2 linked regions of the Notamacropus eugenii genome follow. The protein of the gene in region 1 interacts with the protein of each later gene in a biochemical or structural test. Links are inferred from orthologs where the notes say so. Each region holds a gene or a part of one and is shown on either strand. Other genes may lie near its edges.

Region 1 (15,036 bases):
TGTTCTGAAAAGGTCAAGAAGCAGTCATTTTCTGGATTCTGGTGCATTTTTATTTTAGAAATGATATTTTAAAATCAGTAAGAAATCCAGGTAATCACATTTAGGATTGCATAAACAGCTTAACCAAAGAGATAGCTTGGGGCAATTAAGGCATGGTGAGCTCCAGATGAAAAGCTTTTGACTTCATGTGGTATTACAGCTAGATACGTATGCAAGCAAAATTGTATGCAAGCGAATTGTAGGGAAACAAATACTTCTGTAAACATGCTGTCAGCCATTCTGGTACTGAAATTTTGCAAATTTTGAAGTAATACTTGACTGAATTACTTGTATTCAAGTCCTTTATCAGAAGAAGAGGATACTAAGAGATCTTGTTGGAGTATGTTGGGGTACAAATGTAGGGGAAAAAAAGTAGAGTGTTGAACTTCTTTGACTATGCTTGGTATGTTACCCCTCTATTACAGACAGCATAATAAATAGTGAGCTAGGTTCTGGGTTTCTCTATGCCTGTCTGCTTTACTGTTTTTTTTTGTGATATTGAATATCAGCTGTTACTTTGCTTTTTAAAGTAATGATCTATAAAAATTATCCCATTAATAAAAAAATAAAAATAAAAATTTTTTTTCTCTTTTAAAAAAAATTCAGGTTCAATTTTATTTACAACTGAATGCCTGAGCCGTGGAAGAGTAAAAGAAGCCGTCTCTGTGAGCACAGCTATACAATGTAGAAGAATAAACAGAATAGGAAGTTTCTTTTTGTTCGCATTTTCTCCCTTATTTTTCCCCAAATTGCCTCATACTTTATATTGTTTGCATAGTAAAGTGAATCTGAAGAACTGTTCTAGATAGTGGTGTAAACAAATGTGATAATGTATATTTCACTTTTGGTTCTACCCATACTTTTTGTACAACATTAAACAAAGTGGACCTGTTTCTATTCGCGTTTTTTACTTCATATTAAATTTTTTTTTAAAATCCTTACAGGTGAGGATCATAATATTTCCTTTTAGTCTGGTGGTTATTAATGGAAAGCTGGAGATTTAGTGTACCAAAGTACAGTGGCCCCTGTTGTAATATCATTGTAAGGGTTCTTGAAGCATAATCATGTTTTAGATTGATGATGAGATCCTTTAGTTACTTCTGAGATCTAGGCCTCCTCACGTGGATTCTAAGGATTCTTCAGAAAAATAGGGACCCTCAAATATTTGTTTGGAAATTGGTGAGACTGTGTTTCAAAGTCAAGATATGGGTGGTCTAAAATGAGAGACTACTCTTCAGTTTTTTATTTAATGGAAAGGTAAGTCTATATGTAGGATATTTTGTTTAATATAAAAACATGCCATTTGATATGGACCTGTCTTTACAAAGTATTTTTAAAACTTTAGTAAAAACATTGATCTATAATGGTTAATTGACACCCTTTAAGTACATGATTTTCATGGTTTTATTCACTGGCTGTTTTGGTACTCTGAGACATGGATATAACGTCATAAATGTTAACCTAAAGAATGTGAGAGAGAGAGAGAGAGAGAGAGAGAGAGAGAGTGTGAGTGTGTGTGTGTGTGTGTGTGTGTGTGTGTGTGTGTGTGTGTGTGTGTGTGTGTGTAAATTGATGAGAACATAGTCATGGATATTAACACTGAAAAGTTCATTCAAAATATTTTTTGTAATCCAAAATAATTTAGCAGTGAAGAAAGGACAAAAGCTAACTTTTTATATATATATATATATATATAAGTAAAAATACACCCCCCAAATGAAGACTTTAAAATCTGCCGAATTAAGTTTAAATTTATTTGGAGAAGTTTTATGAATGAAGGAATTTCTCCAAATACAAATTAATAATTTCTGATTTTTTAAGATGTGTTTATGTAATTAAAATTTTAATATAGAAATTATTGATAATGGGCTTTAATGGAATGGAATCAAGAGCTAATTTTTATAACTGATAGCTTAAAGTTTATATAATTAGGTATAAAATCAATATACAGCAGTAAATTGATCTTATAAATGAATTCTCTTGGGTCCCTAATTATCTCTGATACCTAGTACAGTAATTATCTGTTAAATAATCCCACATGTGGGAATTAAGCATTATTCCTAAATTCTCTTGTCTATAGTTGAAAAGCAATGCATTTTTACTTGCTTTTTGCTTAAATTGATATACTGATTTTCAGAAGAGTACTGTAGAATTGAGCTGAGGCTATGCTAACTAAATGTGCTTTCATAGACTGGAATATCACCTGAAACCTTGATCATGTTTATTTGCTATTATGACCAGATGGTGCCATTCATCCATTTAATTAGTCATTTAGGAGTTATTGGTCTGACTTTTGGATGACATCAGTATGTTCCGAATATGACTTTATTGAATAGCCCTGTCCAGGAAGTTAGGAGGATTTGATCTGGAAAACCATATAAATAATTGCTTTATGTCTGCTTGTCCTCATTTCACAGGCAGTGCAGTCTTATCCCCCTTTTAATTCCTCCCCTGTAGACAGTTGCAAACTGCACTGTCCTTTGAATATAGTTGCTTCTCCAAGAGAAACCATGTGTAAATACATCTGGGCCTTTCTTGATGTGCTTTTTGATGGTGGGAGATTGGGCAGTGCTTTGTGTGTCTGTGATAAGTATGTATGATTTTTTTTCTATTAAAAAAAATCTTGGTCAGATTTTTTTTGTTTCTAGCCCAGTTGTGTTCTTCATACCTTCAGCATTTACCATGTAGCCACTCCCTGTCTGACAAGGTAGGATGCTAGCTACAATTTTAGCCCTTCAGTGAACACACTCATCTTTACATGAGAGGCTAAGTGGGGCAAAAAATAGAATTCCATAAACTGAATTACATATTACTGGACTTCATGCAATCTGGACTGAATGAATTTAGCTTTGGCTAAATGGAGTTAAATTTTGTCTTAATAGTTGACAGTAATTATTAAAGTTATATGAAATTATAATTCAGTTGACTGGACTGATTTTTTTTCTGCTGCCTCTAAACTTGTTATTCGCTGCCATGTGGTGACCACAGTTACATAGCGAGTCCCAATCCAGTCCTTTCATAGGCTTTCCACTTTTTGCAGACTTTTTATGTCCCTTTAAAAGCAGCATTTCTACAGGAAATAGAAAATCAAGCATATTCCTACATTAAACAAATGTAAAAATTTTCTAAGCATTATTCATTAAGTCCCCATGATATGTGAACTAACAACAGTACTAATTTAAAATTTATTTAATAAGGTTTATGAATGTGTGTTTGTTCAACAAGTTTCTATTCACTGACATTTATTTATCAAGTATTTATTGAGCCCTTATCAGGTAAAAGACATTAGATTCCTTGTTTGATTGTTTTAAAACTGCAATATATAGTATCATTCACTTTAAATATTCAAAGGAAGTTTGAATATTTCTGGCTGCAGTAATCGTCACTGAAAAGTGAATTCAGAATAGCCCTTAAAGTATTCAGTAGACTGGGGCAGAAAATGTAGAATCTATATTTATTTGCCTTAAGATCTCTTCAGTGTCAAAACAAGCATTTTATATGGCCTAAATTTTTTTTATGTATGAAACTACAAAAATAAACTAATATTCTAAAAGTCTTTAGAAGCACTAAGACTTGTGAAACTTTGTTAAGTAATTAAAATGTAGTATGATAATACTAATTAGAAAATGCCAAGTTTAATGCAGTAGATGGAGAAATTTTTCTGTCATAAATGATTTTCCCATCCCTACAACTTGCAATTACTTTGTTACAGTACTTTCAAGTAAAAATTTAACCTTTGAGAACTGCACATGAAGGGAGTGTGATTCAGTTTGCTTAGTGGGTTTGTACTTTTCAATCTTAGGTAAGAAAGTATAAGGTTTTCCAAATGACAGAAGCTAACAGTCTAGTCCATTTGATAACTCACAGCTTGTTCCAAATGAAAATCCCTTTCTAAATTTAGAAAAGTGAAGTATGTTGATTCTTCAGTTCCTACTTGTTTTTTAAGGCATTTAGTCTCTTACGTACTACAGCGTTTCTGAGATCATATCCTTGGAGAAACTTTTGATTACCTGATTTCAAGAGGCTTAACATTTTTGTTAGTTAATAATGGTTGGAACAAATTGTACTGATCTCTAAGACAGCTTCAAGAAGCTTGCTGCTTTGTGTGTCTTGCCAAGGAAAGTTCAAAGAAATGTTTAGAACTATAATAATTCCACCTCTGCATTTTATAATAGAGTAATGCTTCATAATTCTTCCATCACTGAAGTATTTGATTGCATTTAATTGGACTCTTGGTGTTTGCCTGAATCATTTAATGATTAAAGAACAAAAACATAATTTGAATTGGTCAGTAAAGTCCATTTTACTAATAATGGCATTTTCAAGTCACTTCTACATCTTGGCAAATTTGTTATTTTCTGAGAAACTGCTTGAAATCTGGTGCTAAAAGCTAGTACTGCTTTGTATAAATAGTTTGTGTTTTAGTGACAAAGTACATCATAAAGGTGGAACTGTAAGTAGGGAAGAATGTGCCCAGTTAGGATGCTAAGCCATGGAGGGCGGGAATGTTGCTAATGTTAAATTTTTATATCGTCTTTAAAGGAAGATGTGTACGCATCTTTAGTTTGGCATCAATAGCTATTTGCAGTATTAGATTCTTAGAAACTGTAAAGATATAAGTTCTGGTTTTATTTTTACATATAGAATGCAAGAGCTTAGTTTAAAAGGTCATTGCTGTTCCCTTTGTCATTTTAAATAAAAATCATTTAAAACAAAGATTCTGTGAGTGTTTAGGAACAGGTCCCCTTGTATAGTAAACCTCTTCTTCTCATTAGAAATTCTGCCTTTTTTTTTTTTTTAAATGAACTCCTATGGTAAAGAAGGTTTATTAAGTTCTGGTGTTTGAAATTAACATCAATATGTACCCACTTGTAAAATATCTTAACCACTTAAATTAATCCTACATTTAATGTTCAGAAAGCTTAGTCTCTTTGCAAAATGGAACATAAATAGAAAGCTGTTATGCACAATGCAAATTTTATTGGGGGGGTGGAATATGTGTAAAACTAAATGTAGAGAGGAACTTAAAAACCGTATTTTTTAAAAAGGGAAAAGGATGTGTCAAGTTATCTTAAAATATGGAAAAGTAGTAGTGTGACATGTAATATTAAACTGAAAGGACTTTTGACAACATTTACTTATAATTGTAGGGTATCATCTTAAACCTGTTGGGAATATCTCCCATTGCTAAATGCACTGTGGCTTGGATTTTGATAGGGTTTAAGATAGGAACTGTACCTGTGATTTCATGCAGGCCTGCAACTGATAAGTCTTAGAAGAGGAAAGTTTGCCCAGGTTCACAGAGTTAATATAGTATGCAGTAGAGGGTTTAGTTCATTTAAAAATCAGTACCAGGATTTATAGTTGCCCTGCACATCAGTAATTCTCTTAAAAGACTATTACCTTTTTACCTTATTTTGAGTAACTCAGTGTAGTAAAAAGAATTGCTGGGTTTGAACTCAAGAGCACCCAAGTTCAAATCTTGGCTATTATAATAACAGTTTGGACATAGATAAGTTATTTCTCCTTTTTAGGCTTCAGTTTCCTCATCTGTAAAATAAAAGAGTTGGACCAGAGACTCCAAGGTTCCTTCCAGTTCATAATGCTATGCTCTTACTGCTTATATAAAACAAGGCCTTGTTGGACTGAATCAAGTAGTTTTCATACCTTGATCAAATATTCTTGGATCCTCCCCATTTTTTTCTCCATCATGGGGATGGAAACACCATAGTTTGTAAACGTTGGAGGGAGCACAAGTGCTTAAAAAGTCATCTTGATGCAGTGAGGCCAATACAATGGTGACTAGTTAGAGACGAAATTACTAAAGTGGTTGAAAGCACCTTCAGTTTTTAGTACTCTGTTAAGCCCAGGGAATAAATAACTGGCTGTTGGGGGAATTTACTTCAACATACAAGTATTGAGCCAGGTTGTAGGTATTACATTTGACCGATAACTTTAAACTTCTAGTTCCACCTCTCTTATTGATGAAATTGAGGGCAGGAGGGTTTAAGGTTGCCTAAAGTGGCTCTCCACGGCTGCAAACTGCCTCTTTTTCTAGGTAGTTCTCAAAGTAATTTAAAATGACAGTGCAGCACCAATTTAAAAAAAAAAAAACTGATTTAAGAAAATCCTCAAACATGAACCTATATCCATATATATCCAAAGGTGATGAAATGGGGATTAGGTGTGAAACCACGAATGTATTAAAGCTTATTTTTTAAATGACGTTCAGCCTGGTAGGACCTACATCACCCTACTTGTTTATGTCCCCTTCTGAATTTGCTTCAGCATTTAAAATTTTTTTTTTTTTTTTTTTTTGCTGACACATCTTTGTATCAATGTTGCTGCCTTCGGTGTTCTTGACAATAAAAGCCCTCTGGCAACAAGCACCGTCAAAACTAAGAAAATTTATGATGGGTGTGTTGGAAAATATCTCATTTCACAGTTACAATGAATCATTCGTTGGCAGTGGTGTTTTGTCTGGTTCTTCAATTCCCTTTTTCTATGCCGTGGTTGTTGCACAAATAGTTATGTTTCTGTTCGATCTGCATCAGTTGAGTGAATGAAAAAAGGACGGAAGCGCTTCTAAGCCAAGTACTGTTCGTGACCCCTTTGGGGTTTTCTTGGCAGAGATGCTGGAGTGGCTTGTTCTTTCCTTCTCCAGCTCATTTCACAGATAAGGAAACAGGCAAACAGGGCTAAGTGACTTGCCCAGGGTCACACTACTGGGACTGCATTTGAACTTGGGGAAAAAACTGTAGGCTGGGCACTGTTCTTTCAGCTACAGTTCTATGCAGCTCCTAATCCAAGAAGCCAATGATAACTGATATTTGTAAAGCACTTGATCCTCAGAGTAACCCTTCGATGTGGGTGCTATTATCTTCATTTTACAGATAAACAGGTTGAGGGCCAGTAAGTGACTTGTCCAGGGTCACCAGGGAGGAACTTGAACTCCGGCACTGTGGCTCCCAGCCCACCGCCAGAGCCACCGTATTTCCCTCCAGAATGGAGTTGGTGCGCTTAGCAGCTTTCGACTTTTAAAAATCGTCAGTTCTCGAGGAGACGGAAGCTTTCCGAACTTAACAGGTGACGGGAGTGTACGAAATAATTCTGTTAATTTCTTAGTGAGAAGGGAGGCGGCGGGGGAGGACCGGTCGAACCGCTCAGCAACCGCAGCTTCTTGGGGGGACCTCGCGGAGCGCCGGCCCGGCCGAGAATAGCCCACAGCGCGGGCCGGGCCGAACGGACTTTACGCTGGCCGGGGCCGGAGGTCAGGTGGCCCTAGTCTCCTCTCGGCCCCTCTCCTAGCCCCAAACCCCGGTCCTGTGCCTGCAGCCCCGGAGCCGTCCCTACCTTGCTCTGGGCCTCAGTTTCCGCCTCTAAAGTCTGGGGCCCTGGCTGCCTCGGGGCCCTTCCCGCGACTAGTTTCCCCCGAGCTATTTTGGCTCTTCCGATCTCCCGCCCAGCCCTCGCGGGTTTATGATTTCTGGAGGCGGAGGAGGGAGGGTCAGCTGCGCCGCCTTCAGCCCCAACCTGGAGGCGGGCGGCTCTGGGCTCCGCGGCTCGGAGCGGCCCAGGAGAGGGCCCGAGGCCGGTCGGGTCCCGCCCCGGGGCGGGAGGGGCGGCCGCCGGCCCCGTGGCCGAGGCTCTTCCGCGCCGGCAGGGGCAGTAGCGGGAGCGGGAGCGGGAGCGGGAGCGAGCGGCGGAGAGCCGAGGAGCGCTGTCGCCGTCGCAGTCGCCGCCGTTTGGAGGAGGCTGCGCGGGCGGGAGCGAGGGAGGGAAGGAAGAAGGGAGGCAGCTCCGGGGCCTGCGAGGCGAGGCCCGGGGCCCAGGGCCGCTATCCCCGCCACCATGCCGCTGCTTTTCCTGGAGCGCTTCCCCTGGCCCAGCCTCCGCACTTACACAGGCCTCAGCGGCCTGGCGCTGCTGGGCACCATCGTGAGCGCCTATCGCGCCCTCAGCCAGCTCGAGCCAGGCCCCGGCGCCGGCCCGGGAGAGCCCGAGGCGCTCGCCTCGCCTCAGCAGCCGCTGCAGCCCCAGCCGCCGCAGCCCAGCGCCCTACCGGGCCCCGGGGGCCCCCGGGCCCGAGATGTGGCCCAGTACCTGCTGTCCGACAGCCTGTTCGTGTGGGTGAGTGGGTGCGGGGGGGCTGGGCACAGGGCGGAGGGCTCGGAGGGGAGCCCGAGTGGGGGCGGGGCCGGGCGAGGGGCGCCTGAGCTGGAGGAGATCGACAGCTCTGGGTAACTGGGAGCTGTGGGTTAGGAGCCTTCATGTTTTAGGGGATCCTGCAGAGCGCCCCTGAAAGGACGCCTTTGAGTACGTAAAGACAATCACCCCCGCACCCCGTGTCCCTCCCCTCCCCCCCGCACCCTCGGATAGGAGGCAGCATATCAGAGTGGGCAGCGGAGACGGAGTTTATGAACGTCGGGGTCACCGCTCCAGCGTGCGGGGGTGTACTTATGAGACAAATGAGTAAACTGAGGGCCACAGGGGGAAAGCGACGTACTTGTGGTCACAGGGGTAGAAAATTCGTGGCTGAATTGGAACTCCACATCCTTTTATTCCAACTCCGGTGCTTCCATATGTGGATGGGAACTTTTTTTTCCCTTGAGATCAGCCACATTTGGGGAGTTTTTTTTAAGGAGCGTGAATTTCAGAGGTTGTCAGCAGTATAACTGTATTAATGAGCTTTCCAGAGACAGGGAAGAAGAATGTTAGGAGCTTTGATTCTGAGTGATCCAGAATTGTAGACTTGAGTGTAGACTTCCTTGTCTTGGCATGAATAAGGCCCATTTTTTCTCACTGAAAGATCTTGTTCTCTTTTACCGCTGTCTAGCAAGGACCTGTTTGCGTGTTTGGTTTTCTCTCTTTACTTAACCATGAAACCAATATCCAGACGGAGGCAACCTACACTTTCAGAAATATAGCTTGTGCTGGCACGTGAACCGAGAAAGGAGTTAAGAAAGTCGAGAAGGCCATACATAAATAGCCAGTCTAAAAGAGGGGTATATATCCGTGTGTGTGTGTGTGTGTGTGTGTGTGTGTGTGTGTGTGTTTCTCGTGTAAACCATGCAGCACCAAGTACAGTTACTCCACGATTGGAGACTGTCAATTTCGTTGTCAATTTCGTTGTCACTCACTTTGCCCTTTTAGGTCAGTGTCAGCCTCTCTGTGACTATTCACTTGGTATCCAAAATCACAAGAGTGTGTGCAGTTCCTTCAAATTAATACCACTGTTTCAGAAACAGATTTATAAACTTGAGAAGATTATAGAGATGTTCTTGTTATTTTGAAATTCGAATTCTCCTGACTTTAAAAGTTAGGGATATATGCAAGATACATGAAATTTCTTTACCTCTATTTATACTGGGTCCATTTGTTCCATGTAGCACTGATACTCTGTAGTAGCGTGCTATTTTTAGGATAGCAGTGGGGAAAGAATTCATTTCATTCCATTGAAATTTTAAGTGAAATTAATGTTTTGTACTTTGTTTAGTTTGAAAATTGCTTACTTTAAATGGGAAGAATGGAGTTTGACAATTCTTTAAGGTTATAATATCTTTAATATGTGGGGGGGGTTTTCTTAAAACTTAAGATATAAATAAGTCTTTGATAAGTAGCTCTTGTGCTTATATAACAAACAGTCACTGGTATTGTTTAGTGATTTTTTCCTAGGGGTTTCTTCTTACATATCTACTGTTGAAATTCCAGTAGTCTTAAATATATTCATAAAATATTAGGTAAAGCCTAGTGATTTTTTTGTGAGTTATTCTTTTAAAATTGTCTTTTCCCCCTCATTTTTCTGTCTGCTTTTTAATAGATGACTCAGTTTGAGGTTTCTATTTCTTCTGTATGTGGATATATTTTTCATTTCTTAGTTGATCTTTTTCCTCTCCTTTTTCTCATATTTCTGCTTTGCATTAATCTTGACTTACTGCATTTCATTTACCTTCTTACAGATTGGTTTGTTCTTGCTTTACTTTTTCATTTCTTACTCTTTTTATTCCTTAACCTGCTTTTTTGCACTGGAACATTACTGTAATGTTGTTCGGAGCTGAGAACAATTTGGTATAATGTAGTGTCCCAGAGGAGTTTGAGTTATTGAAGTGTCTAAAATAATCTTATAATGAATTGGTCTTGTTTATAAGATACATCTATGGCATGGATCCCTAAGGACACCAAGGTGAGTCTCCATGGTTCTTAGATTAGTGACTTCTTTGACTTGTTCTCTTCTGTTTTACTATAGGTTTTTTTTCCTTATTGGTTTTCAGTGGTCTCTACTTTCACCTGCTATCGTGTGCTATTTTGCATTGCCTGGCTTTCCCTTTTGTAAAGGTAATAGGCACTATTATATTTTCAGATTCATTTCTCTTAACTCTACACTTCTGTTAATTTGGCATGATGGTAGTTTTTCAAGGCTTTTTGTATCCTTATAAGTACCTCTTGAGCTATTGTACCAGGCCAGCTAAAAATTATTCAGCTTCTTTTTTCTTGATACATTATATTTATTACCTCCTTTTTTCTCTTTCCTTTCCTCTTTTGTTTATAGAGGAAGGCCTGAAAAATTTTGAGAAATAGATACAACTTTTACTTTAGAATATGAAGTCAGTAAATGTAAAGATGCAGTTTTGGTAGAAGGTTTAAGGGGAAGATTATAAGAAAAAGAAGGGCATGAAAAAAATAAAAAGTAAAATTCTAAAATAAATCCAAAAGTTTTCCTTTTAAAATGTCCTGGTATTGAATAGTCACAAATTTCAAATATTTTGGGTGAACATTGAAAAAAAAATTGATTGCTTGCTTGAAAGTAGAGGTAACTAAGATAAGAAAAATAATGATAATAATAATGATAATAATAATGACACAAAATAATAAGTATACGTGGGTAAATAATTTAGAAATAAAATAAAATAAACATTTTTATAAATAATTAAAGAAATAAAAAGAAAGGAAAATTTTCCCAACACTCTTGTGGAGAGTACATGTAGACCTAAATACTTTTAGTGACCTAGGAATGCCCATTTTAGAAAGGATGAGGAAGAATATTGCTGTTGATATAATATGGGGACAGTATTTGTTTCTGATTCCTAGGACTGTTCAAGGCACGAATGTACAGAAGAGTACTTGTTCAAACAAAAGACTTTAGTGGGAGCCAAATCAGTTGTGTGCTTACATTTTTGGAGGGAAACCAAAAAATGTCCTAATCAATTTATGATTTCAGGAAATAATTTCATATGATATAATCATGTATCATGTGCTCATAAATAATCTCTGTTGGCTGAGTTTTAGTTTGCCATAAATACAAATACTAGTACAAAGCCAGAGCAACCAAGAATAATAGAAAGGAAGCAGAAAACTGGGAAAGAATTTTTATAGCCAGTGTCTCTGACAAAAGCTTCATTTCCAAAATATGTAGAAAACTGAATCAAATTTATAAGCATACAAGCCATTCCCCACTTGATAAAGGGCCAAAGGATATGAACAGGCAGTTTTTCAGAGGAAGAAATTAAAGCTATCTATAGTCATATGAAAAAATAATCTAAATCACTATTGATTAGAGAAATGCAAATTAAAACAACTCTGTGGTACTACATCACATTTATCAGATTGGTTAACATGACAAAACAGGAAAATGATAAATGTTGGAGATGTGGGAAAATTGGAACACTAATGCATTGTTGGTGGAGTTGTGAACTGATCCAACCATTCTGGAGAGCAATTTGGAACTATGCCCAAAGGGCTATAAAAATGTCCTTTCCCTTTGATTCAGCAGTGTCACTTCTAGGTCTGTATTCCACAGAGATCATAAAAATGGGAGAAGGACCCATATGTAAAAAAAAAAAATTATAGTAGCTCTTTTTGTGGTGTCCAAGAATTGGAAATTGAGGGGATTCCTCTCATTGAGGGGATTCCCCATCAATTGGGGAATGGCTGAATGAGTTGTGGGTATATGAATGTAATGGAATACTGTTGTTCTGTAAGAAATAATGAGCCAGGTGGACTTCAGAAAAACTTTTTGGAAAAAACTTGCGTGAACTGATACTGAGTGAAGTGAGCAGAACCAGAACATTGTGCATAGCAACAGTAACATTGTGTGATGAACAGTTTTAATAGACTTAGCTCTTCTCAGCAATGCAAGGACCTAAGACAATTTCAAAAGACTCATGTTGGAAAATGCTTTCCACATCCAGAGAAGGAACTATGGAGTCTGAATGCAGATTGAAGCATACTATTTTCTCTTTTTTTGTTTCTTCCTCATGGTTTTTCCCTTTGGTTCTACAATATGACTAATGTGGAAATATGTTTAATATGGTTGTACACCTATGGCTTATATCAGATTGCATGCTGTCTTGGGGAGGGAATGGAGGGGAAGAAAACTTAAAACCAAAAGTTTATAAAAGTGAATGTTGAAAACTAAAATAAATATTTTAAAAAACTTGTCATCTCAGTGGGCTATAGAATTAAGAGGGTAATTGACTTGCCTGGGATCACACAGCATTTATGTGTTGGATGTGGTGCTTGAATTTAGATCTTCTTGGTTTTGAGGCCAGCTCACTCTTTAACAAATTAAGGAATTGCTCAAAAAGTAGACATAAAAGGGCATAGTGACCATCAATCAAACATCGACAAGAATTTATTAAGTACCTGTTATATGCCAGATATTATATTAGTTATGGAGATGACTATTTACTAATAATCTCAAAAGCATTTTTAAATTGTTTAACCTTAAAGTAATTTAAGGTCTCTCTTCATCCTGTAGTAACCTAAAATATATTTTAAGATAGAAAATATCTGGGAGTTAGACTCTCCTGACATACTTAAGACTCCCAAGTAAAACTACAAAACACTGCAGAAATGAAGGAAGACTTAAATAATTAAAGGGCTGCTCAGTCCTCAGTTGTTGAGCCATGCCAGCAAAATAAAAAGAATGATACTAAATTATTTTACAAATTTACTATCGTGCCAATCAGACTAATAAAGGGATAGTTTGTAAAACTACACAAAATGATAAAATTCATTTGGAGAAACAAAATATCTAAAATATCAAGGGAAACAATGGGAAAACATAGAATGAAGGTCATCAAACAACGTAGCAAAGGAAACAGAAAATTAGAATAGTATGAAGGGGGAAGTACCTTTTGCAACTGCAGATAGGGGGAGAATTCTTGACCATACAAAGTTGCATGAGCACAGTCAACGCAGATGGAATAAGAAGGGAAACTCTGAAAAATCTTTCTATCAAGCATTCTTGGCAAGTTGTTAAACTTTTATGGCCAAGATATATGGGGAATTGACGCAAATATAAGAATTAGAGCCATTCCCCCATGATTAGTGGTTGAAAAATTTGAAGTTTTTGATAGAAACTACAATAAAAAGAATGCTTTACATAAATAATACTGTGAAATAAAACCTAAGTTTCACCTTAGCCAGTTAACAAGCATTTTATTAACCACTTCCAGGCAGCTAGTTGGTGCAGTGGATAGAACAGTGGGCCTGGAGTCATGGAGACCTGAGTTCAGATCCATCTCAGATACTTAGTAGTGTCACCCTGGACAAGTCACTGAATGCCTGCCTCAGTTTCCTCAATGGTAAAATGAGGATAATAATAGTACCTGCCTTCCAGAGTTATTGTGAGGATCCAGTGGGATGACATTTGTAAAGTGTATTGCAAATCACGTCTTGTGTAAATGCCAGCCATTTTAATGTGTCAAAGCACTATGCTAAGAAAGGTAAAAAAACATCGTCCCTCTTCTCAAGGAACTCATCATTCTCTTGGGGAAACAACTTTTACAAATTGCACGTAGGAAATATAAACAGTATAAATGGAAGATAATCTCAAAGGGAAGGTACTAGCAATGAGATGAGCATGAAAGGCTTCCTGCAAAAGGTGGAATTTGAACTTTCTTGAAGGAAGCCAGGAAGGGAGAGCGTTACAGCCAAAAGAGATAGCCAGTATAAAGACATGATTTTGGGAGGTAGAGTGTTGTGTGTGAGGAACAGCAAGGAGAAGGGGAGCAAAATGTACAAAGAGTGGAAGGTAGCGGCAGAGAAGGGCTTTAAAAGCCAAGGAGAGGATTTAATATGAAGTAATTTTGGAAGTAATATGAAGTTACCGGAATTTATTGAGTAGGGCTCCATACACAGACATGAAGTGAATGAATGAAGAAAGCATTTATTATGCACTTACTGTGTGCAAAATACTGTGTTAAACCCTGGGAATACAAATAGTAAGTAAGTAACAAAAGGTAAGACAGTTTCTTCTTGTCTTCAGTGAACTCATATTCTGATGGGGGAGATCACATGGAAGGTTCCAGCTTCAAGTCAATAATAATTACTAATATGACAATAGCTAACATTTATATAGTACCTACTATGTGCCAGGTACTGTACCCAGTACTTTACAAACACCACCTCATTTGATCCTTACAACAATCCTGTAAGGTAAATGCTGTTATCTCCATTTTTATGGTTGAGGAAACTGAGGCAAACAAAAGTTAAATGACTTACCCAGCGTCATACAACTAGTAAATGTTTGAAACTGTTTTTGAACTCATGTGTTTCTGACTCCAGGCCCAGCACTCTATCCATTGTGCCTTCTAGCTGCCTCAAGTTAGATGGGAAAGTTCCATGGTCTTTAGGATGCAGTGACAAAGCAGATGGTAATGCCTCTTCTTTAATGCCTTTCCATTGCTAAAATCATATCAGTTTCTAATCTTGAACTGTTTGACAGTGCTAAGGACTTTGGTGACAAGGGCTTTCATTTTTGGGTCTTCTAAAGGGGTGGCTGTAGCACCTGTAGGAGCAGCGGTTCCCCAGGTGCATCTTCACAAGGCTTGCCTCCCAGGATGATGGCGGAGGGCACTGGGCCAGGAGCAGTGCTGGTCCCAGGGCTCTTTGGCTTGGATCCTGGACTGTTTATCAGGTTATGAGAGGAGATGGTCAAGGTGTTAGTGGCAGATTGACTTGTCTGGCACACACTGCCTCCTGTCTCTCCCTCAT
Region 2 (15,437 bases), about 540 kb from region 1:
AGTGGGAGAGTGGGCTACCCCACCAATCTTACTTCCAAACAAAGTATAACTAATGGATGAGTGGCCCCCTTGCATTTAGGAAGCGACATCTCAGCTATGGCTGCCTTGGTGATCTGCTAAAGTGCTGGGTCCAGCATATCACTTCTCAGTACCGTGCTCCCCACTAGGCATGGGAGAGAAAAAAATGCTTAATATTTGAGGGTGAGCTTTTCTACATTTGGTTCAGTGGATCCTCCAAAAGCTAATATAATTTGTTACTAGCACTCTGCTCCAATCTAAGCCTTTCTAACATGGTAGAGTCTGCCAGAGTTGACCGCTCTGTTGCCATAGCCTTCAAGAATCTAGGGTTACTATCTTACTTTGATGAAGCATCAAAGTTGGACTTTGTAAACTAAAGATTCATTTTGATATTTCTCAATACTCACGTCTTCATGGATGTTGGCACTCACTCCACTAGAGCAAATTTCAGACCACCCTGGCCTTCTCATCCTATGTGACTTTTGTTCATGTCCTTAGAGGATTTACCCTGTGCCCTTTCTTTAAAAGTTTAAAAAAAAAAAAAAACATTTCTTGGCATATAGTAGGTGCTTAGTAAATGTTCATTGACTGATTTCTATATAACAATGTCATATTTTGTCCATATGCTCTCCTTCAATCTTGCTACATGACTGGCCTTTTTTCATTTATATATAGGACCTTAGATTGAGAGCTACAAGTAACCTTAGAAGTCATCCATTCTGCCCCCTTTTTACAGAGAAGAAAACAGAGGTTCCCAGGGCCATGCCTAAGGTACACAGGTAATAAGTAGAAAAGCCAGGGTCTTGAATCCAGGTCTTCTAACTCCAAATCCAGTCCTCATTCTAATCTTCAATGATGTTTTTAGGCTACTTCTCCCAGGCAAGCCATTTTTTGTCATGCACTGAGCCTATGTGCGCTCACAGAGTGGCTTGCCACTTCCTTTTGGGAGGCAGCAAAGGGATTTGGAGTCAGAAGACCTAGAGTCAAATCTTGACTCTGACACTTATTACCTGCTTGGCCTCCCTTGGACTTAAAGCTTTCTGGGTCTCTATTTTCACATCTATAAGATGAGGAGGTTAAACCATGGAACCCTCTAGGATCCTTTTCGGGTCTCAGTGTATGAGCCTATGGACCTAAAATAGGACCCAACAACTAACGACCCACTGTGTTAATGGATCTGATGGGCAGGTGGGAGGAGTCACAAGATGCTGATGAAGATATCTACCTTCTGGCATAACTCCATCCCCAGGGAAAGATCAAATGAGAGATACAGAAAAGAGATTTAAAAAAGAAAGCAGAGTTGACTTAGTTCAACTAGACTAGTAGATTAAGCATCTGTTACGTATAGAACACTGTCCTGGTTATTTACAGGGTATTTCAAAGTTTAGGCAAGACTTCTTTACTGCTGTTGTGGGACTTAACAGCATCCCAGAGGGACATGTTGCAAGAATCAAGGAGTAGAAGTTGTCAACCTGAAAGTTTTGTTAAAAAAGGCAAACAGGCTAAATGCATATTTATTCCCTTAAAGCTAGTGGTTATATGATCATGGAGCCAGAAAAACTTCTGACTAATACAAGAATGACCAGGCTTAAATCTGTTTTAGGACAATCCAAGGTTGTCTGTGTCCTTCAAATTTATGGTCTGCATGAGTGATTAACTATACCAGAATTTCTTAATTGGATAGGTTCTAAATACATAAGATAAGAGAGTTGACAGCGTTGATTGAAATTACAACTCAGAACAAGTGTTTTCTCCATCATTAACATGTCATAACATACTACATGTCCACAAGATATTTAAAAATAAGTCCCACTATTCCAGATAGTGTCTCAGGTTCAGGGTCTCATAAGGAATGCTAAGTCAGCCCCATCTGGCCTTGCTGACATAGGAAGTTTACTCTGAGTTTACTTCAGAGAACAAAGAGACTGTTAGGTCCAAGTTCTTCTTAATTCAAGCTCTGGCCCTTATTAAAGTCCAAAAATGATATTAAATATTATCAAAGTTGGGCTTGATATAATGATATAATTCCAACAATTAGAGCTGGTCACATGACCAATGGCATACTTCAGAAGGCAATGCCTGCCCCCTAATTAGAAACCTTTAAGCAAAGACTGGAATAAATACCTTCAGTGGATATGCTGTGAAGATTTGGGATTTTTTGGGGGGGACATTTGGGTTGAACTTGGTGGCTCCTGGAGAGAGTACTAACAACTAGGGGAATCAAAAACAGTTTTCTATTGGGAATAACACCTGAGCTGACCCCCAAAGGAAGTTAAGGATTCCTAGAGACAGAGGTGAAGAGGGGGTGTACAATCTTAGTCCACGCTCACTTTCCAGACTTATTTCATATTGCTTCAACTAGCAGTTCTGCTAATTTAATATTCATGTAGAAAAAGCACGTTATTGGGATTCAGAGGAGCTGATTTCCAATCCATGACTTTCCAATTTACAATCTTGGTCTCTCTGAGCCTCAGTTTACTAATCTGCAAAATGAGGGAGCAGGGGGCAGCTAGGTGGTGCTGTAGATAGAGTACCAGGCCTGGAGTCAAAAGACTCCTCTTCTTGAGTTCAAATCTGGCCTCAGACACTTACTAGTTATGTGACCCTAGTCAGGTCACTTAACCCTGTTTGCCTCAATTTCCTCATCTGTAATATGAATTGGAGAAGAAAATGGCAAATCATTCAGTATCTCTGTCAAGAAAATCCCAAATGGAGTCATAAAGAGTCATACAGGACGGAAACAACTAAACAACAACAAAAATAAGGGAACTAGAGTAGATAAACTTCAAAGCTTCTTCTGTCACTAAATCCATAAAACCTATAAGCTCGCAGGTAGAATTCCTGGCTACCTTCAAAAATCTACACAAGTATCACTTCCTACCTGAAAGCTTTTTAATGCTCTCCTAGCATGCTATTATTGAAATTCTTTCTCTAGTTATATTCATTTATACTTATTGGTGTACATTTTGTCTTCTCTGTAGAAGGTAAGATCCTTAGGGGCAGGGACTCTTTTTTTTGTTTTGTATTACCCATATCTAATACAATGCCTTGCACATAGTAGATATTTAATAAATGCTTGTTGAACTGAACTAAAGAAGATACCCCTTCTGGTTGTCAGAGATATTGACAGAATTGGTAGCAACATTGTGGGATCTCCATACTCATAGGATCACAGAAGCATAGGATTTGGAATTAGATGGGGCTTTAGAAATCAACTAACCCAATTCTTTCATCTTGCAGTGAAAGAAATAGAAGCAAGCCTACAGAGGTGAAATGATTTGGCTAAGGTCACACAGCTAGTACTGGTGGAGCTAGTATTTGAACACCGGGCATAAAATTATGAATTTAGAGCTGGGAGGAACTTCTTAGGCCATTTAGGAACCTTTTTATTTTTACAGATAAGGAACAGTTTGCCCAAGATGAGAGAGAGAGTCATCACTGGAAGTGGAATTTGATCCTAGGTCTTTGGACTTTAGAGTCAGTGTTCTTTCCAGTACAAATCAGTTTAGAGTTCATGACCTGGTTATGTGTGAGATAGTCCCCTTTCATATTGAGCCATTTGTTGCTAAGTTTAGTCTCCTCTGAGTTCTAAGAGTTACAATTTCTCTGCTTCAGAGTCGTGAGAGGGGTTTATTTTTTAATGTGACAAGTTGTAGCATACTGGGAAGATAGATACAAATATGATTTATCTAGGTGGCACAGTAGATAGAGTGTAGATTATGATATATATATATATATATTATTCTTGAATTTGCTTTAATATAGAAGCACCTGTGATGTTGACAGTTTCTTTTGTATTATTGTTAAGTAAATGATGTTAAACATCTAATGGTGTTATTATTGTGAATGGTTGGGTTGTTTTTTTTTTTTTTATAAATAGAAGCACAATAATGGGGGCTCAAGAACTAGAGTGGCGAGTAGAAGGAGTTATCCTTAGAGCTCTGAGAGAGTTTGTGTGTAGCCATGTAACATGGGTTCCTTCTCTGGGAACCTAGACCTGCCAATGTGAGAGCAGGTTGGAGTGAGCAAGTTTGCCCAGAGAGTAAGTAGACGGCCATATGTTCTACATGAGATTGTGAAGTACTATAATGAAGTGCCACATGAACCCATTAAATATGTAAAGACTAGAGTCAAGAAAGAGCAGGTCTGGGAACTAGGTAGGTGGAACTGTTTTCCTTGCTGTATAATAGTTAAAAGTTTTGAGTCTTTATACCCAGCACTCAGCTTCAAACAATGCAAAAAGGCACCCAAACTATTGATCCTTTCTTGTTGGATCCTCTATAGAATACAGAGAAGGCACACCACCATTGTTCTTGAGGAATTTGCCTTTTAAGACTTCATCCAGTCCCCACATTCTCTCTCTCTTTTTCTCTCTGTCTCTCTCATTGTTTCTCTCTCCCAAGACCTCACTTCTGTATAGCTTTAATGTTCATAAAGCAATTTTCTCATAACAACCCTATAATATAGGTAGTGTAAGCATTTGTGGTTTCTGAATCATGGGACATTCATGGGATCATAGATTTGGAAGAATAAAGTTTAAGAAGTCATCGAGTCCATATCCCCTCATCTTACAGACAAGGAAACAGGTTCAGAGAAGTTAAGTGATTTACCCAACTCATACAAGGAGTAGCTATCTGAAGCAGAATTTGAATCCAGGACTCTCTGACCCCAAATCCAGTGCTCTATCCACTACACCATTTTGCCTTATGTTTCTTATTTTGCTGATGAGGAAATTCTGATTTGTTAAGCAACTTACCCAAGGTAACACAGTTAGGAACCATCAGAAATAGGGCTCAAATCAAACTCTTCTGATTTCCAATTTTGTGTTCTTTCTATTACACTAAAAGCCAAGAAAGAAAACACAATCTTCCTATCTAAATTAAAACTGGTTAGCTAAGATGACTTATTGTCTGAGACAGTTTATACTGGCTCCTTTCCATCTGAATCACATTGGTGTGGAAATAGCCCTAGATTTGGAATGAGAGGACCTGGATTGTAATCCCAGAACTGCTACTTACTCCCTGTGTGAATTGAATACACTGCTTCATCTCTATGGACCTCAATTCACTCAGCATTAAGATAAGGGGACTAAACTAGATGAGCTCAAAATGAATGAATAAGTGAATAAATGAAATGAATGAATAAATGAAAAAGCATTTAATAAGCACTTATGTATAAAGTACTGGAGGTATGCATAGAAGAACAAAACAGTCCCTGTTCTCATGGACCTCATATTCTAATTGGGGAAAACAGACAGGAAGGTTTCAGCTACTAGTCAGATGGAAAGTCCCGGTGGTCCTTAGGGTGAAGCAGCAAAGCAGATGTAAATGCGTCTTCTTTAGTGGGCATTTCCTTTAATAAAACCACATCCATTTGTAGCATCCTCACCAAGTCTACTTCCTCCAACCTCTAGTGACATTGACTGACTAAGACCCCAGAGGGAAATTCAAAAATAGGGGGTTGGGGTGAGGAGGAGAAGGTCTTTTACTGTTATTCATAAGTCATCATTCACAGTGATTATCAATTAGCTAGCCAGAGTTAATTAGCTACTAGAAATGGATATTTATGAAAGTTACAAAGTAAGAGTAGTTGGTACTAAATATTCCCCAGAATCGGGGTACAACATTCCACATGCAAGGTGCTTAGGAAGTACAAGCTCAAAATTTTTAAGCTAAGGTCTTTCCCAGGTCTCAGTTTGTCTGAGGCAATCTCCATTCAGTGATTCAGGCTAGATAAGAAAAGAGATGAAAGATGGCCTAATTTGACTTGCCAAAAGAATCAGTCTGGGAGTATAAGCCCCTCAGAATTTCTGGCCAGAACAGAAACAATTGCTATTTACACTCACTCTGAACCATCAAAACCCAGTTTGATATAATAATGAGAGTTGAAATAGATAATCTCTAAGTCTCCTCTCAGTTCTAAAAATCCTAGGACCCTATGATTCTGGGCCCTTGATTGTTCCATCCTGCTCCCACCTCTTCATGCATTCTCCTACTAACATTTCTCTGTTTCTATTGATAAAGTTGCTATCAATTCTCCTGGAAAACCATGTGCTGACATTGGAACTTTGAAGACTGAATGTACTAGAGATTTTACTTTTTTTGATGGGATTTTGAGACTGTATTATGCCTTTCTAGGTGCCTTCCAGTTCTAAAAATTATGAAACTATTTTTAGTAACCAGAAATGAATGAATTTTCCCCTAATATTTTCCCATTTTTCTTTCTCCTATCCTAGAGGATTATATCAGGACTCCTAGAGAATACCCATAGCACTACATTGACTCTAGACTTTTAATCATTCCCCAAGCATTCATTAAATGTCAGGCACTATCCCCTATTATGGAGCATCACAGTGAATAGAGCACTGGGTGGGGAATCAGGAAGACATCTTCCAATCTGGTCTCAGATACTCACTAGGTGTGTGACCTTGGGCAAGTCACTTAACCCTATTCTCAACTGTGAAATGAGCTGGAGAAAGAAGTGGCAAACCACTCCAGTATCTTGCCAAGAAAATCCCAAATGAGGTCAACAACAATCCCCTATTATTGGGATACAAAAATAAAACAAAAGTCTTTGATCTGAAAGAGGTTATATTTAAGTGAGATGGGGTAGGAACAATGTCTACAAGAATGGAGTAGTAAATACAAAATGCAAAGTAATGAGAGACAGGTTGGGATACTAGATAGTGAGGCAGCCTCTCAGTCAGGAAGTCTTGGGTTAAGTGGCCACCTCTGACACACACCAGCTGTGTGACCTTAAGCAAATCAAAATACTCTGATACTCTTGAAAACCATAAGTTATAGAACAGGTCCAGATCTGTAGTGACAGAAGGATTTTTCTTATCTGGGATTTCTCAATATCAATAAAATCAAAGGCCTAATTTAAAAAAAAGGAAAATGTAACATGGGGGGGATTTAATTGGGGATGTGATCAGGAAAGGTCTCTTTTGGAACGTGGCATTTGAACTGAGGCTTAAAGGAAGTTAAAAGATTCAGAAAGGTAGAAGTAAGGAGAAAGTGCATTCCAAGTAAGGGGAAAAGCTGTTCAAAGGCACTAAATCAAGAGATGGAATGCTGAGGACAGGCCAGTTTAACTGGAATGTTGAATACTTGATGGCGAAATCAAGTGAAAGAAGGCCAGAAAGGTGGATTGTGTCCTTATTGTGAAGAGCTTTAAGCTCCAAACAAAGGAGTCTGTATTTTGTAACAAAGTATCTTGAGCAAGGGAAAAACATCCTCAGACCTGTGCTTTAGGAATATGAATTTGGCAACTGTTTGGAGGAAAGAACTCTGTCAGCAAATCTTTAAAATCAGGTAGTCTTATCCTGAAGATGGTGACTTTGTTTCTTAAATATTTTGATAACTGTGTTTCAATATAATTTATTTCCATTGCAATTTTATGTATTTTATTTTATGTATTTAAAAACGTGATTCTGACAAGAGATCTATAGTGTTTACAAGACTGCTAAACAGGTCCATGACATGCACACACAAAGGTTAAGAAACCCTGTTTCAAAGAATGGTATTCCTAGATTAAGACCATTCAGATGTAGTGGAAAACACCCATTAATTTGGGATTTGGAATCTGGGTTTGAATCACTACTCTACCATAAGAATCTCAGAGGCTCTCTAGTTCAACACACTCATTTTACAGGTGAGAAAGCTGTGAAGCCTAGGAAGGTTGAGTGATCTGATGAGGTCATGTAGATAATATACAAGTGGCAAATCCAGCTAAAAACCAGGGTCTCCAAGGTCACCCTACTTAACTCCTTGTGCAGTTTTGGTCAAATTACTTCCCCTCACTTTGTTTCTGCCTCTTTGAAATGAGATGATTCCTAAGATCCTTCCAAGGTCTAAATTCTCCTATACTATGACTTTGGGATTTCTTAAGACCGGCATAGCCTTTGTCTTTTCTGACACACTAGCCCTTGAAGGCCTGTGGGCTGAACCACCAAGTTCAATCTGACGTCATAAACGTTTGTCAAGCACCAGGTATGAGTAAAGCACCGCAAGGCTCTGGATTGACAAAGACAACGAAGTCACAAGGAGCTAACTAACATCTATCTACACAGATAACATATACTAGAAGGTAGGAAGTAACCGTGTCAAAGTAGGGATCCAGATAAAAATGCTTTATGAACATGTGAGGAAATTTGCCAAAAAATCAGACAGAAGGGTTTTGAAACAAAGGGCAAAGGTATCATCTAAGGCAGGTCGGGGGATCGTCTGTGGTCAGGGGGCTGGCAGGGCAAGGATTATGCATTATGACGAAACCATTCAAAGAGATTTCGAGGCTGTGGACGCAGGCTGGGATACTGGCCATGGTCACTTCAGAGTTCAGCCGCCTGATGGGACGAGGTTCAAGGAAAACCAGCCTCAACGCCCCTGAGCCCCAAGTCCCAGTCCTAAGCCTCACTGTGCTCCAGGGTGACGCAACTCCAGGCTCTTGCATCAGTCTGTCCTCAGAGTTCCTCTCGGCCCCGCCCTACTTGGTCCAGCGGCTAGGAACAGCAGCCCAGCTTCTCTTCCCCATTCGTGGATCTGCGCTCCGATTGGGCCACGTTGGGGCTGACCCTCGGCTTCAGCCAATAGACTTCAGCCACAGTGTATCCAGTGTATTCGTTCGCAGAGGCGGGGAGGGGCTGCCCATAAAAGGCGGCTGGGTTGGGGTCGCGCGCACCAGAGCAGGAAACTGTCGTTCGTTCGGCTGTTTGTCTCAGGCTAGGGTGGGAGCAGAGGCGGCGGCACCGCCCTCTAGTCTGTCCGCTCAGGCCGCTGCGGGCCGAGCCGAGCCTTGGGAACCCAGAAGACATGGAGCCCGAGCCTGTGACCCTCTTGGTGAAGAGCCCCAACCAGCGGCACCGGGACCTGGAGCTGAGCGGGGACCTGAACTGGAGCGTGGGCCGCCTCAAGGCTCACCTGAGCCGCGTCTACCCCGAGCGACCGGTGAGGCCGGGGGACATGGCCCAGCTTGCTTCCCTGCGCTCTCGGCCTGGCCTGGCCTCTGCGCCGCTCCCAAGGGGCGATTCAGAGCTGAGGGGGTGGGGGGAACCTTAGAGATCGGCTAGGCCTCTCCCCGATTCTGCAGCAGCTGTCACCTGTTTCTGCTGTTCCTCTTCCCCCCGCCGTCCTCCCCCACCCCCACCCGCCCCTTTCCCTCTGGTCAGCAACTGTCCCCTGCCTTCTTGTCCATTTGTCACCGAGTCCCCCCGCCGCGCCTTGCCCGCAATTCCCTTTCCTCCTCTCTGCTGCTCGCTAACTCCCTTCCTGTCACCCCTTCCCCGCCTTCATGTCTCCCAACTTCCATGCCTGTCTTCCTCCACAATTCCCCCACCTCCGAAGATCTGTGTTTTCTCACCAGGTCTCCTCCTTGCTGTCGGCCTCTACCGCCTCCTCTTCCTCTCCTCCATCTCCTCGCTCCAGTCCACTTCCCTTAACTCTTCCATTCCCTCCCCCTCACAATTCTCATCTGCTTCCCTCTTAACTCCCTGCAGTTCCTCATCCTCCTGGAGTCTGTCCTTTCCAGTAACCTCTCCACCTAGATGTCCTTCAGTCTCTCTCCCTCCCACCCATCCACCCAATCCACCTCTCACCCTAGTTCTTCATCCTCCATCTGCCTCAGCCCACTTGTCCGCCTTTCTCCAACCCAAATCTTTCCCTGTTCCACCCCCACGGAGCGGAAACAGTACTAGAGGAATGGGGGTGGGGTGGGGGCAGAAAAGCAGGGAATCCAGGAGCCTGGGTTTCTGGTTCCAGTTCTGCCCCAGGACTCTGTGACCTTGAGCTTCACCCTTCTTTGACCTCAGTTTTTTCCCGAGTAAAAGAAGTGGCTGGATTAGATGTTCTCCAATGTCCTCAACATAGTTCTTTAAAAAATTATAAAGTTTCTTAATGTTCTTTGTGTCATCTGTTACATAATTGTGTCTGCAAATTTATAGACAAACAGTGGGCAGGTCTCCAAATCCTTTTCAGTGTTAACACTGACTTGTCTTCATCCTTCTCAGTATTGATACTATGACAATCCTGGGTTTACCCTCACTGGGAAAGACTTGGCTTGAAAAGTCTGCTCTCCTCTCTCCCACCTTCCTTTCTCCTGGCTCCTTATTCCAGTTGCTGTGTACCTAGCTAGGTCCTTGTTCTTGCTGGTACAGAGGCATTTTCTTGTTTGGGTGGTTATCTGAGATGAACTCTTTCTGAAGCAATGGGACTTTGTGCCATGATGGCAGTGTCTTCTCTTGTTTGGGTGTGTTGTCAACCTTTCCTTTTATCTGAAGCCCTTCCTCCCTCATGTGATCATGTATGAGTTGTTGGAGCCTTTGTTTATTTACCCTGTGGCCTTATGTAATAGGCAATAGTAGTGTTTGCTTCCAATTATATAATTCTTAATTATGGGGAGCAAAAAGAACCAAGGTGGCAGGAAAGGATTACAGAATATCTGTTTTAGAAACTGTTACAGCACAATACATTCAATTTTATTTAAAGTTAAGAAGAAAGAAGTTAAAACTTTCTGAAACTTAAGAACATCTGGGTAGTTATTTTTTCCTTTGCTTTAATGCAGTTACTTTCTTTCCAGGCTTCAAGATTTAGTTTGGCTTATTGTTCAAAATCGTTTGCCATTTTTTGTTTTGTAAGAAAACATTCGATTTTGTGATTTTGTTAAATATATTAATTAGTGACATAGAGTAATGATAGGTAAGGTAAAGCCACAAGAATTTATTAAATACTCCATGCTCTATGCCAGGTACTGTTTTGAGCTGGTATTTATGGAACTTTCAAGTTTATAAATGCCTGAAACTCCTACTGCATTGCTTAGGTGACTCTGGGTTCTTGAAGGCTTAGTCAACAAAGCACAACCTCTTGAGAGTCTCTGCCAGAAAAGACTTGGAGGAGAGTCCCAGCAACAGATTATGTCAGTTTTCTGGCACAGCTCAGCCACTCGAGACTCATTTCATCCCCAGAAGGCGGACTCCTGGATGAGAAATTCTTTGGTCATAGTAGCCTGTAAACATCAAAATACAAAATGGTGCTCAGTTTTCTGAGTTTCCTGAAACCAACTTTCATATCTGGAATGGCAGAAAAAAGGGGGAGAGGAAAGAAGAATCCTAAGAATTAATAGTTTTTTAGAACATTTATAGGTTTTAATGTATAGGCTTAACTATTGATATTTTAAATAAGAGAAAATCCTTACTTAATGACTAAAGAAAAGTACCTCCCATTAGAAAAGAATCATATCAACCTTGACATTCTCCTTAGAAATCAAACCAGAAGACAAAAGGAAGTTGTAGTTAAATAGAAGAATGGCTTTTATTGGAGAAATAAATAAAGGAACTAATGGAATTAGTGCTCATCCAAGACAACAAGAACAGCATCATTTCATGGAACATTGGCCATCTAATATCACAGTGTTCGTGACAAACATTTACAAGAGGCCTCTGTGAAGATAGCTCCAACTTACTGCACTAACAGCTATTGAAGATCTGAGAAGGTAGAGGAATTTAATGAACTTGATAAAAGTTCTCCCTCCAAATTCAGCATAGAAATCAAATTATCTCAGTAGTATAAATGCAAAGTTTGGGACACAGCAAAAAAAAGTTGGAAAATATGGTTTTGGAAGTAGAAAGGAGAGAGCTTAAATAAAGGCTTGCAGACTATATAGAAGCCTCATAATCAGTGGTACTATATGAGAAGAGAGTCAGGAGGCTTTGGACCAAATAGCATTATTAGAGAAATGAAATTGATTATATTTTAACAAATAGGAACTGGTTGCTTAAAATGGAATCATTTCCAAATTAATAGAGTCAAGACAATCAAATTGTGAGAGCAAATATCAAAATCAATACCAAATGAGAATAAAAAATGCAAGATCAAGATCCTGTGGATTTAGAATGATAAAGAACTACACTAGTCCAGTCCTTTTATTTTACAAATGAGGAAATTGAGACCCAGAGAAATCAAATAGCTGGTAAGATGAGGTCTGAACTAAGATCTTTTGATTCCACTCTATTACACTGCCTTTCTAAGGATATTGCAACTTTTGGGGGAAAAGGTATTATCTTCACTTAGAATTTGCGGGAGATATTTTCCTTTTTTAAGGGTTTTATATCCATCAGGTATTAACTATTACATTTTAAATCCTGTAATTCATACATTCTTTTGTTTGTTTTTTGTTAAAAATTGTAAGACCTCTTACCTTTAAATAAGGCAAGATTCATTTACATGAGACCAGTTAGGAAACCTTGTAAATTTAAGCCACTTCTAAAAGGTGCCCAAGGAAAAGAAAATCTGATAGACAAATCCGTGTGTGCGCACGCGTACATGCGTGCATCTATCTGTCTACCTATCTGACATATTTCAGTGGACTAACTGCAGGAATCTTTTAAGTGTCATTTGGAAATTTCTTCTTCCTGGAGGTAAAATGATAAAGAGATCTGTGTTACATAGTCCTACCTGGTTTTTGTGGAAACTAAAGTTTAAAAATATAGTCTTGGAAACCTAATTCAGATTCTGCTTTTCTGACTGAAAAGTACAGATTGTATATAATTTCCGGAACAAGTTCCAGATTCAGTGGTAGGATAACTAGAAATTAAAAAGCCATTTTTTCCTATGAATTTTAGAAGTGGAAAGAATTTTGCATTACTAAATATTGGGTATCAGTGAGAACTGCTGGTCAGTTGAATATGCTTCCTAAATTTAATATTTTTATAGATGTTAAAGCAGTACCTTTGGAAGGATTTTTTTCTGGAGAGACTTGAGGAAAATCAGCATATCCAATACTTTTATGCAGAAGAGGTTGTTCAGTATATAGGGAATTGACCTGCCACAGTTAAAAACTGAATTGTGATTTCCATTCTGTTCCCTCAATAAGCGAGAAGAGGACCAGAGATTAATTTATTCAGGAAAGCTGCTGTTAGATCACCTTTATCTCAGAGATATACTACCTAAGGTATGTTACTTATAAATTAACTTTTGAATATACTACCAAGTTCAATTCAGCATATAAGGACCTTATATGGGTTTTTTTTTCTAATTTTAGCATGAAAAACGGCATGTCCTTCATTTGGTTTGCAGTATAAGAAATCCTTCAAAAATGCCAGAAAAGGTAAGTCTAGTTTTTCATATTGCTTTGAAAAATGTCACCCAGACTCTTGAGCAAAAAAGCAGTTGAGTTTAAACTCTCAAGTTATCATTTTTTAGCTGTAATATGTTCTTTTTTTCTCTTTTCCCAGGAAGGATCAGAAATTAGAAATGGTACTTTAAAAATAAAGTGACAGTATATAAATATTAATACAGATGTCAGCAGGAAAGAAAACAGTTTAATATGAACAAGAATATTATTTGATCTACATATACTTGCATAACCAAATTCATGAACTAGCAGGGATTTTGTAATATATTTTTATTGCATTTAGACCATTTTAAGGTATGACATAGCATAGTGCTCAACTTTTGATAGAAGGTAAATGAGTGACTATCTTTTGCAAATTATTTTCCTTGACATTAGTATGTGAACATGGAATATTCAATTGGTTATCCAAAAACCAAGATCTTTATAGATTATAGAACCCTTAAACATGTTAGACTCAGAAGCAGGTATTCAGCATTGTTTCCCAAGGGATAAATAATTATTCTTGGAAATAGAAATCTTAAATTTTTTCTTATCCGAAGTTTTATTTTTAAAAAACACAATGATACAGAAGACCCCAGTATTCTAGGAATTTTGACTGTGTTGTATAGATGAACTTGATAGGTTTAAATACAAAAAACAGTGTTTGGAATTTCATTTGGCATTGTATTTATCATATACAATTGTGCTAAAGATGCACTGTATCATCAGGAAATGTTCTCACCATTAGACCTGAGTTTTCACACTTGTAAAACTAAGGCATTGAAACAAGATATCCAAGCTTTTCCTCAGATCATTCTCAAAGATTTTTATGACCTTCTAGTTTAAGGCCTTTTGTTAGATTGAGTGAAACCAAAAAATGCTTACATTAAGAAAGTATTAGCTGTTTAGTACCCATAGACAAAGTACTGTGTTTAACAACTTGAAACTTAAATAATGGTGAAACTCAATTTATTTTACAAAAGCTTTTCTCATAACAACCTAGTAAGGTTGGTAGTAGAAATGTTGTTAACCCCTTTTTTACAAATGAAGAAACTGATGCTCAGGGAGGCTAACTGACTGAATTTTATAGGCCCAATAGCTAGTAAGTGTCAGAGGCAAAATACAAACCCAGGGTGTGTAATGCCTCCAAATCTGGTACTCTTTCTACAACATTATGATGCCTGTCTAAGTGTGGGGAAAAATTAATTGAAAAGTCATGTTCATTTTCAATTGATTCCACTGGATGCATAAAAAAATAAAGTTTAGTTGTAGAAAGGAAAATCACAAGATCAGGAAATATTTGCAAACCCTTCCTCTTTCCCCATCAAAAAACAAAACCCCAAACCACTCTAAGCTATCTTTCTTTCTTTCTTTTTTGTAAGCTCTATTTCTTAATATTGCATCAGCTACATTCTGAATTAAACCTCCAACATTCATATTGGTATTACTTAGGTTTCTGAATCCAGTGAGCAGCCTACTGGACTGAATCAAGACCAACTTTCTTCTGTAGACTCCTCAAATGGTGGATTAAGGCAAAGGGATATTCTTCATAATCCTTCTCCACTTGCATGGGAAAATAATTCAAGGTGAGTGTATGCTTTAAACATGGAGGTTGTTTTTGCAAACACCAAGTACAGTTTCCAATTTAAGAAAACTCTACAAATCTGAATGTTAAAAATGGGTAAGTGTTTTGCCTATATTCATACTTGAAGAAACTGCTAAATTTCAGTTATAGGTTAATGAGAATAAATATATGAAGCTTTTTTTCCTGCCCAAGTTAGGAGCTGCTGCAGTGATCTCTATTTACATATAACTTTTCAGGACTATATTTGCTACATAAGTGATGTGCACACATATTTGGATAGATCCTTTACCAGCAAGTCATCATTTATCAGTTTTGCTTTGTTTGATAACAACAGTCTCCACAAAGCCTTTGTGGAAAATTAAGCTGTTAATTTGCCACTCTCAATGCTCTAAATGTAGAAATAATTTGAGCAGCCTGAAAATTTCTTCTATTCTTTTCAAATTATCCTTAAAGTAGTTTCTGTAGATTAATTTGCTTTTAGATGCTGTTCTGAAACCATATTTCAGAGGAATAAATTGACTAGGTTATTTTTCAAGACAATTTAGGTATAAAATGAAATTACTAGATTGAAATATTGGGAAGCCATTGTGGTACCCTAAGTTGTACAGAGCACACTATATATCCCACCAAGGAGTGATAGATTAATGCAAAAGGGAAACGTTATATATCATGCTTAAGTTCTTTAAAACAGGAGAATTGTAGAGTACAGAAGTACAAGAGTATAAACGAT

What was found.
Region 2: of the proteins of AMFR (region 1) and HERPUD1, one has a biochemical effect on the other in vitro, tested with the Homo sapiens proteins (6 studies listed by BioGRID and IntAct, with this or other methods). The link is inferred for Notamacropus eugenii from reciprocal best matches to the Homo sapiens genes AMFR and HERPUD1.

Annotation. Positions count from the first base shown.
Region 1 is NC_092872.1:473,916,365-473,931,400, reverse strand, and holds the start of AMFR (E3 ubiquitin-protein ligase AMFR), read left to right. Parts: upstream 1-7,573; 5' UTR 7,574-7,890; coding exon 7,891-8,169; intron 8,170-15,036. Other genes in the region: NUDT21 (cleavage and polyadenylation specificity factor subunit 5), read left to right, coding at 646-667. UniProt on the Homo sapiens protein: E3 ubiquitin-protein ligase that mediates the polyubiquitination of lysine and cysteine residues on target proteins, such as CD3D, CYP3A4, CFTR, INSIG1, SOAT2/ACAT2 and APOB for proteasomal degradation.
Region 2 is NC_092872.1:474,456,493-474,471,929, forward strand, and holds the start of HERPUD1 (homocysteine-responsive endoplasmic reticulum-resident ubiquitin-like domain member 1 protein), read left to right. Parts: upstream 1-8,618; 5' UTR 8,619-8,828; coding exon 8,829-8,963; exon of another isoform or gene 8,964-9,050; intron 9,051-9,375; exon of another isoform or gene 9,376-9,476; intron 9,477-9,744; exon of another isoform or gene 9,745-11,502; intron 11,503-12,882; coding exon 12,883-12,960; intron 12,961-13,050; coding exon 13,051-13,116; intron 13,117-14,574; coding exon 14,575-14,708; intron 14,709-15,437. UniProt on the Homo sapiens protein: Component of the endoplasmic reticulum quality control (ERQC) system also called ER-associated degradation (ERAD) involved in ubiquitin-dependent degradation of misfolded endoplasmic reticulum proteins.